2 linked regions of the Lytechinus pictus genome follow. The protein of the gene in region 1 binds, or shares a complex with, the protein of each later gene. Links are inferred from orthologs where the notes say so. Each region holds a gene or a part of one and is shown in the gene's direction. Other genes may lie near its edges.

Evidence for each region. Proteins that work in one complex are often made in the same cells at the same time.
Region 2: coiled-coil and C2 domain-containing protein 2A-like (region 1) and B9 domain-containing protein 1-like share a complex: the UniProt entries of both Homo sapiens proteins name them as parts of the tectonic-like complex. The link is inferred for Lytechinus pictus from reciprocal best matches to the Homo sapiens genes CC2D2A and B9D1.

The regions. Positions count from the first base shown.
Region 1 is NC_087261.1:31,142,380-31,150,579, forward strand, and holds the start of coiled-coil and C2 domain-containing protein 2A-like, read left to right. Parts: upstream 1-4,621; 5' UTR 4,622-5,043; intron 5,044-8,200. UniProt on the Homo sapiens protein: Component of the tectonic-like complex, a complex localized at the transition zone of primary cilia and acting as a barrier that prevents diffusion of transmembrane proteins between the cilia and plasma membranes.
Region 2 is NC_087254.1:10,976,486-10,984,704, reverse strand, and holds the start of B9 domain-containing protein 1-like, read left to right. Parts: upstream 1-4,714; 5' UTR 4,715-4,941; coding exon 4,942-5,001; intron 5,002-7,390; coding exon 7,391-7,459; intron 7,460-8,001; coding exon 8,002-8,113; intron 8,114-8,219. Other genes in the region: uncharacterized protein LOC129269100, read right to left, coding at 125-173, 1,453-1,541, 1,992-2,048, 2,881-3,025, 3,925-3,998, 4,506-4,574. UniProt on the Homo sapiens protein: Component of the tectonic-like complex, a complex localized at the transition zone of primary cilia and acting as a barrier that prevents diffusion of transmembrane proteins between the cilia and plasma membranes.

The DNA.
Region 1 (8,200 bases):
AGAATGTCCAGATCCTAGATCAAAATAAAAATAATTAAAATATCAGCTTGCGCTTCGCGTTCAAATCATTTATTAAGAGCGATCCATAATATCCACTTCACAACTTTCCTACATAGTGCTTGAATTGGTGCTTAAATTAACGCTTTTTCAAATAGGAATATCAAATATTTTCAGCTCGCGCTTCGCGATCACATTTTGATTTTCATGATAAAAAATATATTTAGAATGCCCAGACACTATATTCAATCACCAAAATTGGGCGTTTTACTCAGTACCAACTTTTTATGGAGCATGGAGGAAAAGAAAACATTTACCAACGAGCTGTTTATCCATCCATATTGTCATCTAATTTGCATAAATTATGTATAGATTATGCATGAATTATCATATATTATTCAAATTCGAACATAAAATGGTTCATTTTCCCAGTTTATACCTGATTCCCAATTAAAATTGTGGCACAACTAAAATTAACGTTCATTATGACATGAAGAGAAAAGCAAATACAGATAGAACAGTTTGTTGGGTAGAACTATACAACTTTTCATATTATGCTAATTACAATTAGTATAATTATAAAGTTCAAGTTGTATCAACTAAATTTATTCTCCTAGCATATTCATGGGGATTATAACTTACAAACGTTGGGCCCACATTAAAAGAAAATTTTAGAGTTTCCTAAACGCTGCGATGCCACAGTTAGCAAAACAACTTTTATATTTACGAAACCTCTTCTGCTCTTGGAAATATTAGAGAAAGACAGAAAAGGGCATTAATGTAGTTTTAATATTGATATATTTTTTGTTCTGGTTTCTGTGAATGCTTATTTTTTTAAGCCATGTTTTAGTCAAACGCGTTACTTACAAACGATGTAAGTTAAGGAACCTGCACTGCAAACATTCTTGTTTATGCTTAGTTCCTACTTTGTACTATTATTATTATTATTATTAATGTAACATTATATTCTGTCAATTTATTTCTTGTTATGCATGGAGAAAATAAAACATTGCTATGCATGTTACATGCAATGACGTTATGGGAATCAAAGCCTAACCCTATTTGGAGCCGCTAGAAGGTACTCCCCACCCCTTTTTCAATATCAGAGTGATATAATTTTTATTTGAAATTATCATTATCATTTCCACTGATCTTTTGAAAAAAAAAGACAGAAGATACATTGTTCTAAAGATTGCATTAAAAGACGTCCTTGTACATTGAAGCCTATATACCCTATACTATTTTACAGAGCTTGTCAAAGTAGCCCCATCACTTTCCTTTGACTCTATTAGTCTGTTTAAAATGTCCTTTTAATAACGCCCCTTTCTGTAAAAGGGGCGCTTTAGCGGAATATTAAATCAGCTTCTATTTTCATTAATTTCCTAAGATAAAGGACGCATAAAGATTAAATGAAGAGAAATCCTAAAAATTAAAGTCTATCCCCATCGAAACCTATAAAAAGTATGAACATGTTTTTTGGGAAAGGGTGACTATGCGTGCTGCAGCGTTTTGAAGATTTTGGAGTTTGGACAACTGGGTGTTGGGTAAATTCAAATTGTAAAGCAAGGCATTCTCGAAATCAAGTCGTGAAGACATCAGTGCATGAACTAATTTTTTATTGATCGCACTTAATAAAGAGCTGAGATTTTTCATTATTATTACTTTGAGTGTCATGAAAAGAGGATTTTAAGTAGTTTGTTGTATAATCAATATTGAGACATACATAACTCGCCAATCAAAATGCGAGCGTGCAGTGCTAGCTGATACGTTTTGACAATCAGACCTGAAAAGGGTATTTTTAAAACTTTATGGAATACACGAAAATCATAGGTACCTGATAAATCAAAATTTGCGCGCGCGCAGCGCGAGCAGAAATGTTAATATTCAGATAAAAAACCTGACATTTTTACAGAGCACTTTTTAAACATCAATATTCACACAAAATAATGAAAGTTCGATTTCCGAGGTAGAATATGTTTTGTAAATTGACTTCCAAACTTGATATTCAAACTCCATATTGAACAAAATATGAAAATCACCTAACAGGCAATGCGAAGCGCGAGCGAAAATTTTATATAGCTATAGTGACATGAAAGAGATCTTTTTATTTTCCAAGTCTTCCCCTCATCTTATTTTATTCCCTCGTCTTCCTCCTCTTCTTTTTTCTTATCTCTTTCCCCCCTTTTTTTTTCTTTCCCTTTTCCCCTTTTTTTACTCCGCCAATAGGGGGGGGGGGGGCCGGGCCCCTCGGCCCCCTGGATCCGCCTATGAGAATGATCAAAGTACCACAAAGTCCTGCAAGTTCTGCCACTCCGTTTTTGTTATACATTTTGTTGGAGGATGCCCAGCATTTAGCCAGCGGCGTAACAGGGGTTGGTGGCCAGGGGGGGGGGGGGGGGGGGGGGGGGCAAGAGCCAAAAATTTCCCGGTCATATCATGGTATGAACAGGCGGAATGGTGTAATAAGGCGGCGATTTTGAGAGGGCCAGATATTGCGTATCGGACAGAATTTATCTTTTAAAAAAAGTTGCGAGCGAGCAAAATTTGACATTTTTAATGCAAAATTTTTTTAATGCAAAAGATTTTGACATAAAATCTTCCATTCATTTGTTTTTGTGGTCTGTACGCCACTGTGAACAGGATTATTTGCAGCAGTAGCGAACGTGATAAAGTAAAAAAACGATGCATGGGCGCAGTATATGGCGCATGTGCTAAAAAGCTGCTTAATATAAGCCCCGAGCGAGCGAAGCGATAATCTAACTTGGAGATATTTTTTGACATTATATTCAGTAAATAAAATCATATCCTACAAGTTCAAGTTCAAGTTTAAGTTTATTCAAACCAATCAAAACAAGAGACATATTACACAGTTTAACAAAAATTAGAATATATGATAGGTTTGGGACCCCAAAGAAGCAGAGCTTGTGAGAGGGGCCCCTTGTAAAGTACATTACAACAGTAATGAGATGAAAAAAATATTTACAATGATAATGTAGAGTAAATAAGAAAAATACATACAAAACACACACACACACATGGTTTATCAAGAATCAATTTAAGATATTTTGTAATCTTTCAAATAAATATTTTCGACATGAATTTTCAAATATGGGCAGTGTTGGACTGGATCGAAAGTTTTGTGGTAACTTATTCCATTCTTTTGTACAAACTATCACAAAAGAATTCAAAGCAGTATTTGTTCTTGTAAGTGGTTGGTGGATAAGATTTTTCTGCCGTGTATTGTACAAATGTACATTTGAATTAACAACAAATGCATTTTTAAAAAATGAACAGCTTTGAGAGGATAGTGATTTGTACATAAATATCAAACAATTGAAGGAGACAAAATCACCAGGAGGCAAAATCTTCAATTGCAGAAATAGAGGAATACTTGGACATCTGTAATTCGAATATGTTATGAGCCTCATAACTTTCTTCTGAAGAACTAGCAGTTTGTTTAAATGGTTCCTATATGTCATACACTTTTCCTTTTCTCTTTTGCTTTTCTATCCTCCTTTTTTTTTTCTTGGTTGTAGAAGTTTTGGGGACCATGGCCCAATTAACCCTTCCATATTCATATACGGCAGTGCTATGCGGTTGGGGTCCAGGGCAGAGCCCCCGGAACTTCTTGATATCACAGCCATTTAAACTTCGCAGATTGCCGCTATTTTAGATCAAATCGCGGGTATATACAGAATATAGCTTTTACACAACACATTTATTCAACCCAGTTGAACCAAATATTTTGAGGGGGCAAAACATAGCAATGTGGGGAAATTGGTAAAAAGTCGCCAGCTAGCAAAGCGAGCTGGAAAAAAAATGCCCAATGAAATTAAATTCTGTGATAGATTTTCCATTATATTCAGCAAATAACAACTTTCATTGTTTCCATTCATTTCATTATAGTTGTCTCCTATAATTTCTTTTATTTCCTTTTGGGTGTGGAACCAAGACACCCCCCCGCGCCTGTACGCCAGTGATTGAAGCTTAGTAAAGTATAATGTATGAAGGGTCCCTACAGGGCCGGGGGGGGGGGGGCGTTATAGAGCCATTTGAAAGTTACAGATGAAGAACCCCTACTGCGTGGGGTCTCCGGGGGCAATTAAAGCCCCCGGTAGCTTATTTGCAAAAAAATAAGCAAGATAGCACAATTTTGTATGCAATTCACTCTTTCTTCCCGCTCTTTACTTTCAATCCTCGGCAGCCAGGTCGTGTTATTAATATTTTTCTTGTCCGGCCCTTTTCTTTGTTTTCCAATTTAGCTTTTGACTTATTCCATTCTACCTTCACTTCCCGCTATTGTTTGCCATTTTGTCATCTTTTAATTTATTTCCCATCATGCTATTGCATTACTTTTATATGCCTATTTCAGGGATGTTCTTCTTTCGTTCCTTTCCCGCTTTCCTAATTCCTTTTCCATTAAAAAAAAAATCGCTTCGTTTTCTTTTCACTTTTCCATTTCCCTTTCCTTTTCCTCCTTCCCCTTTCCCTTTGTTTCTCCCTCCCTCTTCCTTTTCCCCGTTTTTTTATTTTCCGGGTGAAATCTGCCAGGAGGGGGGGGGGGGCAGCTTGCCCCCCTGCCCCCCGCCTGTTACGCCACTGCATTTAGCACAGACAGGAAAACACTTCTAAACTTAAAAGAAGACAAGGAACTGCAATATTTTTCTGAGCATTTAATGATCAAGAACCTCAACAATTTACCATTTCCGTCCTGTTTCTACCTGACGTCGAATTAACAGATTCCTCCAAAAACGACCTAAACCGACTTGTTTTAAATTCTTTCATAAGATTCACCTCTCTCACGTCAAAATATGAAATATGAAATGCTAATGATGCAGTATTAAACTGCGGATCTCCGATACAGCGGAGGAAGGATACAGAAGAAGAAGAGGATACCTGCCGATATATATATCCGAACAGCGGATCGGAGGAACTGAACGAGAGCTAGAGCTAGAGGGGGAGATGAGAGAGAAGTGCGGCGCAACGGAGGAATTTCGAGAATCAACAGAGATTCAGATCGTGGTTGAATCAAGATCGAAGGCGATGGTATGTCATTATTTACGAATCAGTAGATGGCTAGTTTTTGAGTAGGAGATTAAGTTCTGCTAAAAAATCGAAATCATCCACAAAACCATGGCATGAGTTTACATTTTACGCTAAAAAACTTGAACGTTAAGGTTAGACTTGGCGCCGGCGATCGCGACGACGTAAACAAATTTCCTACGTTGTCCCACCTATATATTTCTGTGATGTGATGGTGAAGCTAGCCAGGAGGCTCCAACTTCCCACCCACGGCTACATCTCAGCCGGCAGCCGCCGACTACAGAATAATTGAAGGCATGGCGCATTCAACAAATAACGTTAATTTACGAAAAATTAATACGAGGACTTACAGAACACTCACACAACATGCGAGGTTAGTAATACTAACCTCGACCTCGCACAACGCATGTCATTTCATATTATCATAGGCCTAGGCCTAATGAATTTTGACGTTTTCATTCATCACACGAATGTGAGAATATGAAACATGCCTAAATCTTCAATATACTAAATTTAGTCATCTTAATCTTATAATGTAATCTAATTTGGCTTAACTGCAGAATACCCCGACACTGCTCACTACCCAATCGTTGGTCAGCCAACACAACGATGTCAAGACCTATAGCTATATACTAATTCAATGGTATATAGCCTAGATATACCCATACTATTATATACGTACATGCATTACTGGTACTACTACTACTACTATACTACGTACGTACGTACGTATGACGGTACGTACGAGCAATGCATCCAGGCCATACGTAATGACCTTTGCCCTTTGACTACTACTAGAGCTATAATTAAACATCGTTGGGTGCGCTGCTAGCCAACGACCCACGTTGTGACGGTACGGACGGTGCAATATAATATTCAAAACATCGTTGGCTAACCAACGACCCACGATGTGAAGGTGCAATAGTACAAGATTAATACACTCTTTTAAATTACCTACTACTACTAGCTATTGCTATACATCGTTGGGTGCGCCGCTAGCCAACGACCAACGATGTGACCGTGCAATGCAACATTCAAAACATCGTTGGCAAGCGTTTCAAGGTATGGTTTCACAAAACAGTTTAATATATGCATATCCTGGTTAGTGAGGTGATCGATGTCATTCACTCTCTATTTCTTTTGTATTTTTTATACATGAAATATTTTCATTTTTTCTTCATTAAAATATGAAATAAAGTTTTAATTCCCATTGAAGGAATTCAATGGGAATTGAATTCAATGGGAATTGAATTCAATTAGGGTTAGGGTTAGGGTTAGGGTTAGGGTTTAGGGTTAGGGTTAGGGTTAGGGTTAGGGTTAGGGTTAGGGTTAGGGTTAGGGTTAGGGTTAGGGTTAGGGTTTAGGGTTAGGGTTAGGGTTTAGGGTTAGGGTTAGGGTTAGGGTTAGGGTTTAGGGTTAGGGTTAGGGTTAGGGTTAGGGTTAGGGTTAGGGTTAGGGTTAGGGTTATATTCACATCGTTGGCATCGCCGGCAATGTTGGCCTCTACAACAGGCATATTCACATCGTTGGCATCGCCGGCAATGTTGGCCTATGTAAGATACATTCACATCGTTGGCACTGTTGGCATCTACTACAGGCACCAACACATCGTTGGCATCGCGGGCGCTGTTGGTATATACATACTAAACATACATTCACATCGTTGGCATCGCCGGCAAAGTTGGCCTATACTTACTAAAGATACATTCACATCGTTGGCATCGCCGGCAATGTTGGCCTCTACTACAGGCATATTCACATCGTTGGCATCGCCGGCAATGTTGGCCTATGTAAGATACATTCACATCGTTGGCACTGTTGGCATCTACTACAGGCACCAACACATCGTTGGCATCGCGGGCGCTGTTGGTATATACATACTAAACATACGTTCACATCGTTGGCATCGCCGGCAAAGTTGGCCTATACTTACTAAAGATACATTCACATCGTTGGCATCGATGGCAAGGTTGGCCTGTACTACAGACACCAACACATCGTTGGCATCCTGGCCGGCGCTGTTGGCCTATACGTACTAAAGATACATTTACATTGTTGGCATCGTTGGCACTGTTGGCATCTACTACAGGCACCAACACATCGTTGGCATCGCGGGCGCTGTTGGCCTATACATACAAAAGATACATTCACATCGTTGGCATCGCGGGCAAGGTTGGCCTATACTACAGACACCAACACATCGTTGGCATCCTGGCCGGCGCTGTTGGCCTATACGTACTAAAGATACATTTACATTGTTGGCATCGTTGGCACTGTTGGCATCTACTACAGGCACCAACACATCGTTGGCATCGCGGGCGCTGTTGGCCTATACCTACTAAGGATACATTCACATCGTTGGCATCGAGGGCAATGTTAGCCTGTACTCTACAGTACAGACACCAACACATCGTTGGCATCGCGGGCAATGTTGGTCTACATAGGAAACTACAGATATGATCGCATCGTTGGCATCGCGGGCACTGTTGGCATGTACTACAGACACCAACACATCGTTGCCATGGCGGGCAATGTTGGTTTACATAGGCAACTACAGATATGATCGCATCGTTGGCATCGAGGGCAATGTTGGCCTGTACTACAGACACCAACACATCGTTGGCATCGCGGGCAATGTTGGTCTACACATACTACGGAAATATACACATCGTTGGCATCGCGGACACTGTTGGTCTACATACTACAGAACACAGATATAGATCGTTGGCATCGAGGGCAGTGTTGGCCTGTACCGACTACAGACACCAACACACCGCTACCATTGCGGACTGTGTTGGCCTACACGTACTACGAAAATATACACATCGTTGGCATCGCGGGCAATGTCGGCCTACATATTACAGATGCACACAGATATATATACACATCGTTGGCATCGCGGACTGTGTTGGCCTACACGTACTACGAAAATATACACATCGTTGGCATCGCGGACACTGTTGGTCTACATACTAATCGCGCGCGCTCGCATCGTTAGCGTTACAGTGCAGTCTGAACACTTAGAATCTATTAAAAAAATACTTGTAAGTTGTAAATCATTCAATTATTTATTATAGCTGATTTTCTGATTTGATAGCTTAAGTACATCGTTGTGCGTTGGCTCTCCAACGATAAGGTAACGCAGTGTCCGGGTATTCTG
Region 2 (8,219 bases), on another chromosome or scaffold:
ACACTCACCTGTTTATAAAAATCCAGCCTGTACAGGTAACACACATATTTTTGAAATGTCTGAGGAGTATTCCAACCCCCTGCTTTTTCTTGATCTTATCAAAGCTGACAGAGTTTGTACATACCTCTTGTGATGATTTATTTGTTAACTCTGATGCTAACCAATGGTCACACCTGAATGTTTCAAAATAAAAAATAAAAGGCAAGATTTAAGAGAATTAAAACAAGCATCAACACACACAACACTTTCAAATCAAAAGTAAAATGAGAAAATTATGATATTTTAAAGTATTATTTTCATAAAACAGTTATACATTAAAGGTGGTATGCACATGATAAACCATTTTTCCAACATATCTTGCATATTGTTATTATCAAATTGGAAATATTATCTTCTGTACCAGGTGTATATTCTTTATATTCGGTTTATTTGAATATTTATGTCATTTATATTTTCTGCTGTTATGTTTTATTTATTGTAATTATTGCATTATAAATTTTGTTGGAAAAATGAATAAATAAATGAATGAATGAATGTCCACACTCTATGTTTCTTTTGTATTTTAAATATGAAATATCAAATGTATAAATTATTTCTTCCAATGATATAAACTTGGTTTGATATTAAAAACATGTGCAATTCAATTTTCACTACAAGACATAATGAAATAGAATAGTTTACAGGATAATAGGAACCAGAAAATAGAATGAAAGCTAGTCAGGTATGGTACCTTTAAATGCTCAAATACAATATATTTGTCTCGTTGAAAAAAATACAAAAAAAACCCCAGAAAAATTCATTGAATTTACCTTCACAAAATGGAATTCAGGTTTTTGCTGTGTACATTTTCTCTGACAATACAGCAGTTCCATTTTATGTTAAGTTTAAAATGGAATTACGGTATAGGTTCCAAGGAAAGGAAAAGGCCAATTTTTTGAAAGGGAAATCATTGTCCCAATTTTTTTTCTTCATAAATCATGAATTGAGCTGATGAATTGACATAATTGACAGGTTAAGGCTTTTAATAACAAACACCAATACCCTTTTAAGTTTCTAATCTCAACAATTTATTTTTCAAAAATCTTGTTAATGACGTATTTTCAATTCTCAACAATATCTTTAGAGGCAATACTAAAGACTGATTATAAAAGGCCCATCAATGTGACAAATAGAGAATTAAATCAGATTAAGCAAATATCACTCTTTCTGTAATACTATCATATGTCTTACTATTGTTTGAAAGAGCTACAATAAGGATTATGGTTTTTTTTTAAATTCTATTTCGCACCTGCAAAGTGCTCAGTATATTTCTCCCCAAAAAGGACGCAGAAAGAAAAAATCTGTTATCTTTCATTTCATCTGAGATTCAAGAGATTCAACTGAAAGTACAAATCAAGAATGTTCAGATTTTTATGCTTGAAAGAGGCTTTATCATTAAAAATATACACCTACCAATTTACAGCAAGCTGAAAAGGAGCGTTGTTCTGGGTTAGGGTGAGATAACTCTTCAGAGCTTCATCACTTGAATGATTCTGGTATCCCTTCAAAAAAATAGAAGAAAAATATACCTAAAAACATAATATTTTCCTCTACCAAAATGCATGAAGTACCCCCCCCCCCACCATCCATTCCAAAATAAGATATCTAATTACAAAATGGCTTATTGTGAAACCTCTACAGCAATTCTTTTACACTGTATCTGAATTATCTGTTACGAATAATAATGGAAACAAAAACGTCAATACCACATAATCAACGAAGGGGCTTAAATTAATCCAAGGTCATGGCTTCTGATACCCTCAGAAACGGCCTTCATGATCTTCCAAATATTTGAAGGCTTCAGGTTAAAATAAATGCCCTTTTGCCTTTTGCCATTTTGATGAACAAAAATATTAGTTTTCTTGGCTAATTTTAGTTTATTTATTCAGATAGTATGTTCAGCTCTCTGTGCCAATTTAACACATCAACAGAGCTCTTTTTCATGAACTTACCCACTCAATCATGAAACCATCCATGCCCACAACCTTGGCTTGGAGAATGAGATATTCCTGGAAATTGGATTAAATTACAACTCTTGTTACTTTATGTATGGTATTCAATAGGTGATTAATAGGGGCCGGGGAGGGATAAGGTAGGGTCATCAAAATGAAACTTCACATAGCAGTAGGACATACACTGTTGTATACCTGAAAAAATGCATCAGGGAAGACCTGCATGGGGGGCGTTTCATGAAAGGACTTGTCGGACGTTTTATCCGACAAGTCCCATTTTATCCGACAGTTACCATAGGAACAGTGCCTCTCTGCCAATCAAAATCATGGAAAGATGTCAGATCTGACAACTTGTCGGATGAAAATATTGATGAAACGCTCCCCAGGTGCAAAAGACAACCCCCCCCCCAACTTTGTCTCTTTTTTTTTTCTCATTTGGATTGCGAGAGGGGATTATTTACACTATTTTGGTAAGCGAGGGCAGTCTCTACCCCCCCCCCCCTCCCCCCCCCTTCAGTAGGTATGCTAGTGGGGAAAAGGGTGATAATAACAGCAACTTTTCAATAAAGCTAATAACCCTTTCATTTTTAAACTAAATTACAAAATGACAGGAGCCATAACCATAAATACATGATATTTTCATAAACAATGAATCACACAAATGTATATTACTGTTATCAACTAGTATAAGTTCCTAATAACATTCAAGAAATAAAAGAAGAAATACTTGATTTATGATTTATTTTATTAGGGCAGTTTCATGAAAAACTTTTTTACTAACAAATTAGCTCTGAGCCAATCAAATGCAAGGATTTCAGTAACTTATAACAAATAGCCAGAGATAATCACTGACTACTTGTTCCATGAAATGCTCCCTTGATGAGCTCACCTGGTAAATAGGATCATGATCAGAAGTAAGACCCAAGCTCGGATATACCGAAGATGCTATGTCTATATGATGCGAGCCATCAGAGGTCAAAAGGTCAGCATTGTAGATGAAATGTGTCTTGCTAGCATGACTTTTCTTTGCAACTCTGTATTAAATACAAGATGAAAAAAAGAGTAGTATTACTATTAAGGATAATATGTCTTGTTTCATAAAGAGTTGTTATAATAACAATGGCACAATTTCTATTACAAGTTGACTACATGTATCAGTCATCAAATTGAATGATTTCAGTTGCTTTAAACTGTAAATTGCAAATTCGTTTTTGTAACAAGTCTTATGAAATTGGGCCCTGGTCAAGAGTATGAACACTGCATAATACTAACATTCAATGTAGACAGCTAGATCTGTTAGTTGAGAGTGAGGTTATCAAACAATTTGTGAACTTTTTACTCTGTCTTCCTAATGCAAGGAGGTGCAATGAAGCAAGGCATAGTAGTACAGTGAAACAACTTTAGACTGAAAATTTCACTCTAAAGTAAACTGGTGCAATTAAAATACTTGATTCCAGTTTGACATATTAAAATATAAAATTATATTTGCAAATAAATGCAGGGCATGAGCATACAGGATATGATCATATTCAATAGACAAGGACAGTAATCAGAAAAAGAAATAGCTTCATTCAATGAAGGGCAATTTCGATCCTACAACAGAAATTACAAAAGAAAAAACATTTAAAAAAATATATAAAAAAGCAAAAGACTTCAATTAGTGACAAAAATAACAGAACACTTTCTTTTGAAAAATGCATATCTTCATTTTGTATCCATTCCCAAATTGTTTTCCGAGCCACTTACTCCCTTCCACCATATAATAAATCAGCAGGCAACAAATTATTATTATTTTTTTTTTTTCAGGAGCTAATTTTTCAGGGCTCTTTTGAGTATTTTGGGGTGAAATCGCCCCCTTCCTTGTGTATTTTTCCCCCTGTAAGTCAGGTATATTGTGACCTAAATCTTAAAACTAATTAAAAGAAGAAATTACCCATGAAAAGACCATAAACCAAGGCTGCCATCGTGTTGCCTCGTAAGCTTGTTGCTTGTCACATCAGCAAGTATCTAGATGACAATAATAGAGTAAAAATCATATGATCATATTTAATATTTCTTATTTGTTTAAAGTACATTTTTCTTCTTCTTTGCTGGCCAATAGTATTTTTAGTAGGGCCTAACCCTTACTAAGTTACAGCAGATTTCAGAATCGTCAAAATTGTGAAATCTACTTTTTCTTAAGGGGGTGTTGCAAGAAAATATTTGCAATCAATCGCAAATATTCTGTTGCAGTTTTACAACTGATACATCAACGTTAGCTATAGTATACTATAGCAAATCAGATTAAACTTCTTGTTTCAAGGAACAAATTAGCAATCAATCACTAATTTGCAATTAACTGCAAGACATGTGATTAGGATTGACTTGCAATTGATCGCAAGTTTCTTGCAACACCCCATGGCCATTACTACTACTTGACTAAGTAACAAGTTAATACGTTGTCGTTCATAGAAATTTACGAAAAGTCGAAAACACGCAGACAATATGATTAAGTTTAGAACAGATTATTCATACCAACTTTCCTGCACAAGTCCTCCATGACCCAAACCACATAATGAATAGAAGAACAGGTGAAATGCGCATCTTGTAACAGCTCTTCGCTTGGAAACCTAAATTTACTCCGAACTCCGACGACGCGACCGGGAAGCACAGTACCAGCGCAGCTCAACGCTAGCTAGCTCGCTCCCCCGGCCCGGCCCACCCGGCGCGGCCCGCGGTCCCCCGTAAGCCACTGATGCTGTGCGCCGGAATGATCCAGCTGCTAATCACGTCGCGGTATCAATAACATTAACAAGATTGGTATACTTTCTCACAAGCTAATGATACGTAGAAGATACCTCTAATCACCTTAGTTTGTAACACCAAATCGTGCTACAATCTGAATAGTTGTGAAGGAAGATAAGAAAGAGTGAGTCTGAAACTGAGCTAGCTGAGCGAAAAAGATGATGAGATGGCTTCTACTCCAACAGTATTTTTGCTCATGATGAGCGGTCAGATTGAAGGAGGAGATGTGAGTATTATGCTCTGAAAACTGTAGTCATGATATGAATCAAATAAACTCATTTAGAGAGAATGGTGCCTTGGTGGACAAACCGATTTGATACTTAGATTCATTCTGATTCTTGTAGTCTTGTTTGAATGTGTATTTAAGGGTAGTCGCTAAAGATTGACTTGATGTTTTGCGTTGTCTTGGAGTAATGGAGATACTAACTGGCTATGAATTAACATGTGCACATTATTATATGATACACATGTAGGCATTATCGTGAAATTGGGAAGCAGTTCCTAATTTCCACCAGACACTTTTTCATGACAAGACATGTCATGACCTTTTCGAGCTTGCACATGCACACTGCTTCACCGCTGCTGGCGCACTGATTCTAAAAATTCTAATCCTTCAAAGAGCTTGATTTATTTTGTCGCTGTCTTTTCTCTACTCGCTATAATGGGAACCAGCGTGGAAAATTGTCCATAGAATTGTACACGCTGGTTCCCATTTCAGCGAGTAGATAAAGACAGATTATTAATGAGATTTATTTCGTCAGTGATGATTCTGACGAGATGATTTTCTCTAGTAAACTGTCTTTATCTACTCGTGAAAATGGGAACCAGCACAATCCAGGAGAATTTTCCATAGCTGGTTCCCATTTTGAAGAGTAGATATAGATTGCCAATGAGATTTATTTCGTTAGTGGTGATTCTGTCAAAATATATCTCACTAATCTGTCTTTATCTACTCGTGAAAATGGGAACCAGCATGTATAATTCAGTAGAATTTTCTTAAGGGGTTCCTATTTTGAAGAGTAGATATAAAGAGAGATTGCCAATGAGATTTATTTCGTCAGTGATGATTCTGATGACATAAATTTCACTAGTAAACTGTCTTTATCTACTCGTGATGTGAAAATGGATAGAGTGTATTAAAGTGATTCATCCCCATATATATCTTGTTTGTGATTTATTTAGTGAATCGATTTTGTAATCATTTTTTATGTCAACATTGTGAAAGTGGCAGAGTGGTCTTGAAGAGCACGGAAATGCGGGGTAGATGGATATAATTACAAAAATTATGATTCCGCGGAATCGATGTCATCTGAATACTTGTCCACCCACATGCAATCTGAGCCTGATAAATATCGCATGAGGAAAGAGATAACCAGTTGTGTGAGGAGTTTTGCACCGTAAAAAAAGCCTCTCGCATCCATTTTTTCAAAATCGCCGAAGCGAAGTTTCTTTACATATCGTGGTGAAAGGAGGTACAAATTTGATTTGGTGACCAGTTCCCAAAAGCAGGGAATGGCCCATATGTAAATAAAACTTAACTTTGTTAAACTGGAAGATGGAGAGGAGAGAGAAAGAAGAAGAGGAGGGAAGGGGATATGAATAGAATTTCAATTTTCATCATGAACTAAAGTAAAAGTCAAAGACAAACCACAAAGAAAGGAAAGTAAATGTGGAGACTTGACCAAACGTGAAATGAAGAAGGATTCAGCCTTAGTTTGAGGAAGGTTAATGTTGGTAGCTAGAGTAGAGTTTCATGCCCCAGCATACCTCAAGTGATGTTCGTTTAGCTGGGCTCCACTTCACTACCGCTACACTACGCTACACCTACCTGAACATCAAAGTGGTGAACTCTGATACTCCGAGTGACAAAGGTGGATTTTATGGGGGGAAATATAAAATTCATGCAACAACACGATCTTTTAAAACAATGGAAACTAATATTCTTACTTTTCACAAAGTTTCACTTCTTTTCCATGCTTCTATCAGTCACAAAATTGGTATTAATTCTCTGCCGATTCCAAAACATCGCAAACTGCATTGGAATTGGCAGTGAATTAATACATGTATGTGTGAGGAAAATGTTACTGGCTCTAAATCGCCAATTATGAAACTTGTAATCCATTTGACCCTCCCATTCTTGAGCAGTGAGCTAAAAACTAACAGGTGGCCTTATTACCCCACTCTCCATACATGTATTGATAATTCTTGTGTGATATTGGGAAGGGGTGTTTATATTTAAGTGTCCTTTGCAGTGAGTGGATTTGGAAGGCCACATCATCACAGAGATTTCTGTTGGAATAGTTTTCAAACGATATAGCCTAACTTTTAGATAATTCAGACATCCATATTGCCTGGCTCATGACGGTGCTGCTTGGAAGGTTGAAAGGAATGCTTCCCTTATCTCATGTTGATCTCAATATTTTTTGTGTTCATAGTCACAGTATTCCCTTTTATGTTGAAATCTACTAAATGTAGTGGATCTTTGATTATATGATCTCATCTTTATTTTAAAGAATCAATCTTAAAATGCTAGCTGCTTGAACTGCATTGAAAAAGAATATTAGTTTGGTCTCATGTATAAAACTCACTTTTTTTAATTCAATTCTCATATTTAGTTTCCAGAGTTTGATGATCTCTATGTCAAATACAACTTTGTGTATGGTCCAGACTGGGTCATTACAAGTGTAAGTACAAAGTTTGAATAATTCCCATTATTTTCTTGTTTTTAACTTTCAATTCATTACAATACATAACCCTTTGTAAATTGTGTAATCACTGTTTTTATCAGCATGATTTTATTCCCAAAAATTAATTTGAAAAATTATTGATTTTGTACACTGTAACATGATACTGATGTTTGATAATTTAATTTTCAATAAATACACAGATGTGAATACCATTGTGATATCCAGGGCTTAAATAACCTTGAAGGTCATCTAAGTCTTTGACCTCAGATATTCTACTGATTGTCCTCAATGTCCATTTTCTGGCCCTTGGATATCTATGCCCTATTCAATTTTCCCATCAGACCCCTTTTAAAATTGCCCTCGCCATAAAAAAAATATTGAAATTAATGCGTAAAATACATGTATTTCAGTCATATACCTATTCACTATATTATTGATTCAATTATTATGTTTTTATTGTTCGAATGTACATATTTTGTAATGTTTTTATCATGAGAAAAATCAATCATTATTTTAATTGTCTATTTGTCTTATCTTAGGGTCTTGAGGAAGGTATCTCACAAGTTTGCAAGAAGAATGTTTATGGAAACCAATATTTTGTGTGGAACTTTCCTCTGGATGTGACATTCAAGAGCACTAACCCTTATGGCTGTAAGTAGAACTAATAGGAATATTGAATCACAATTTTTTTTAGGATTGTTGATGTTTTTAATCTTCTTCATCATCTTTCTCCTTCCTCTTCTCCATCATCTCATCC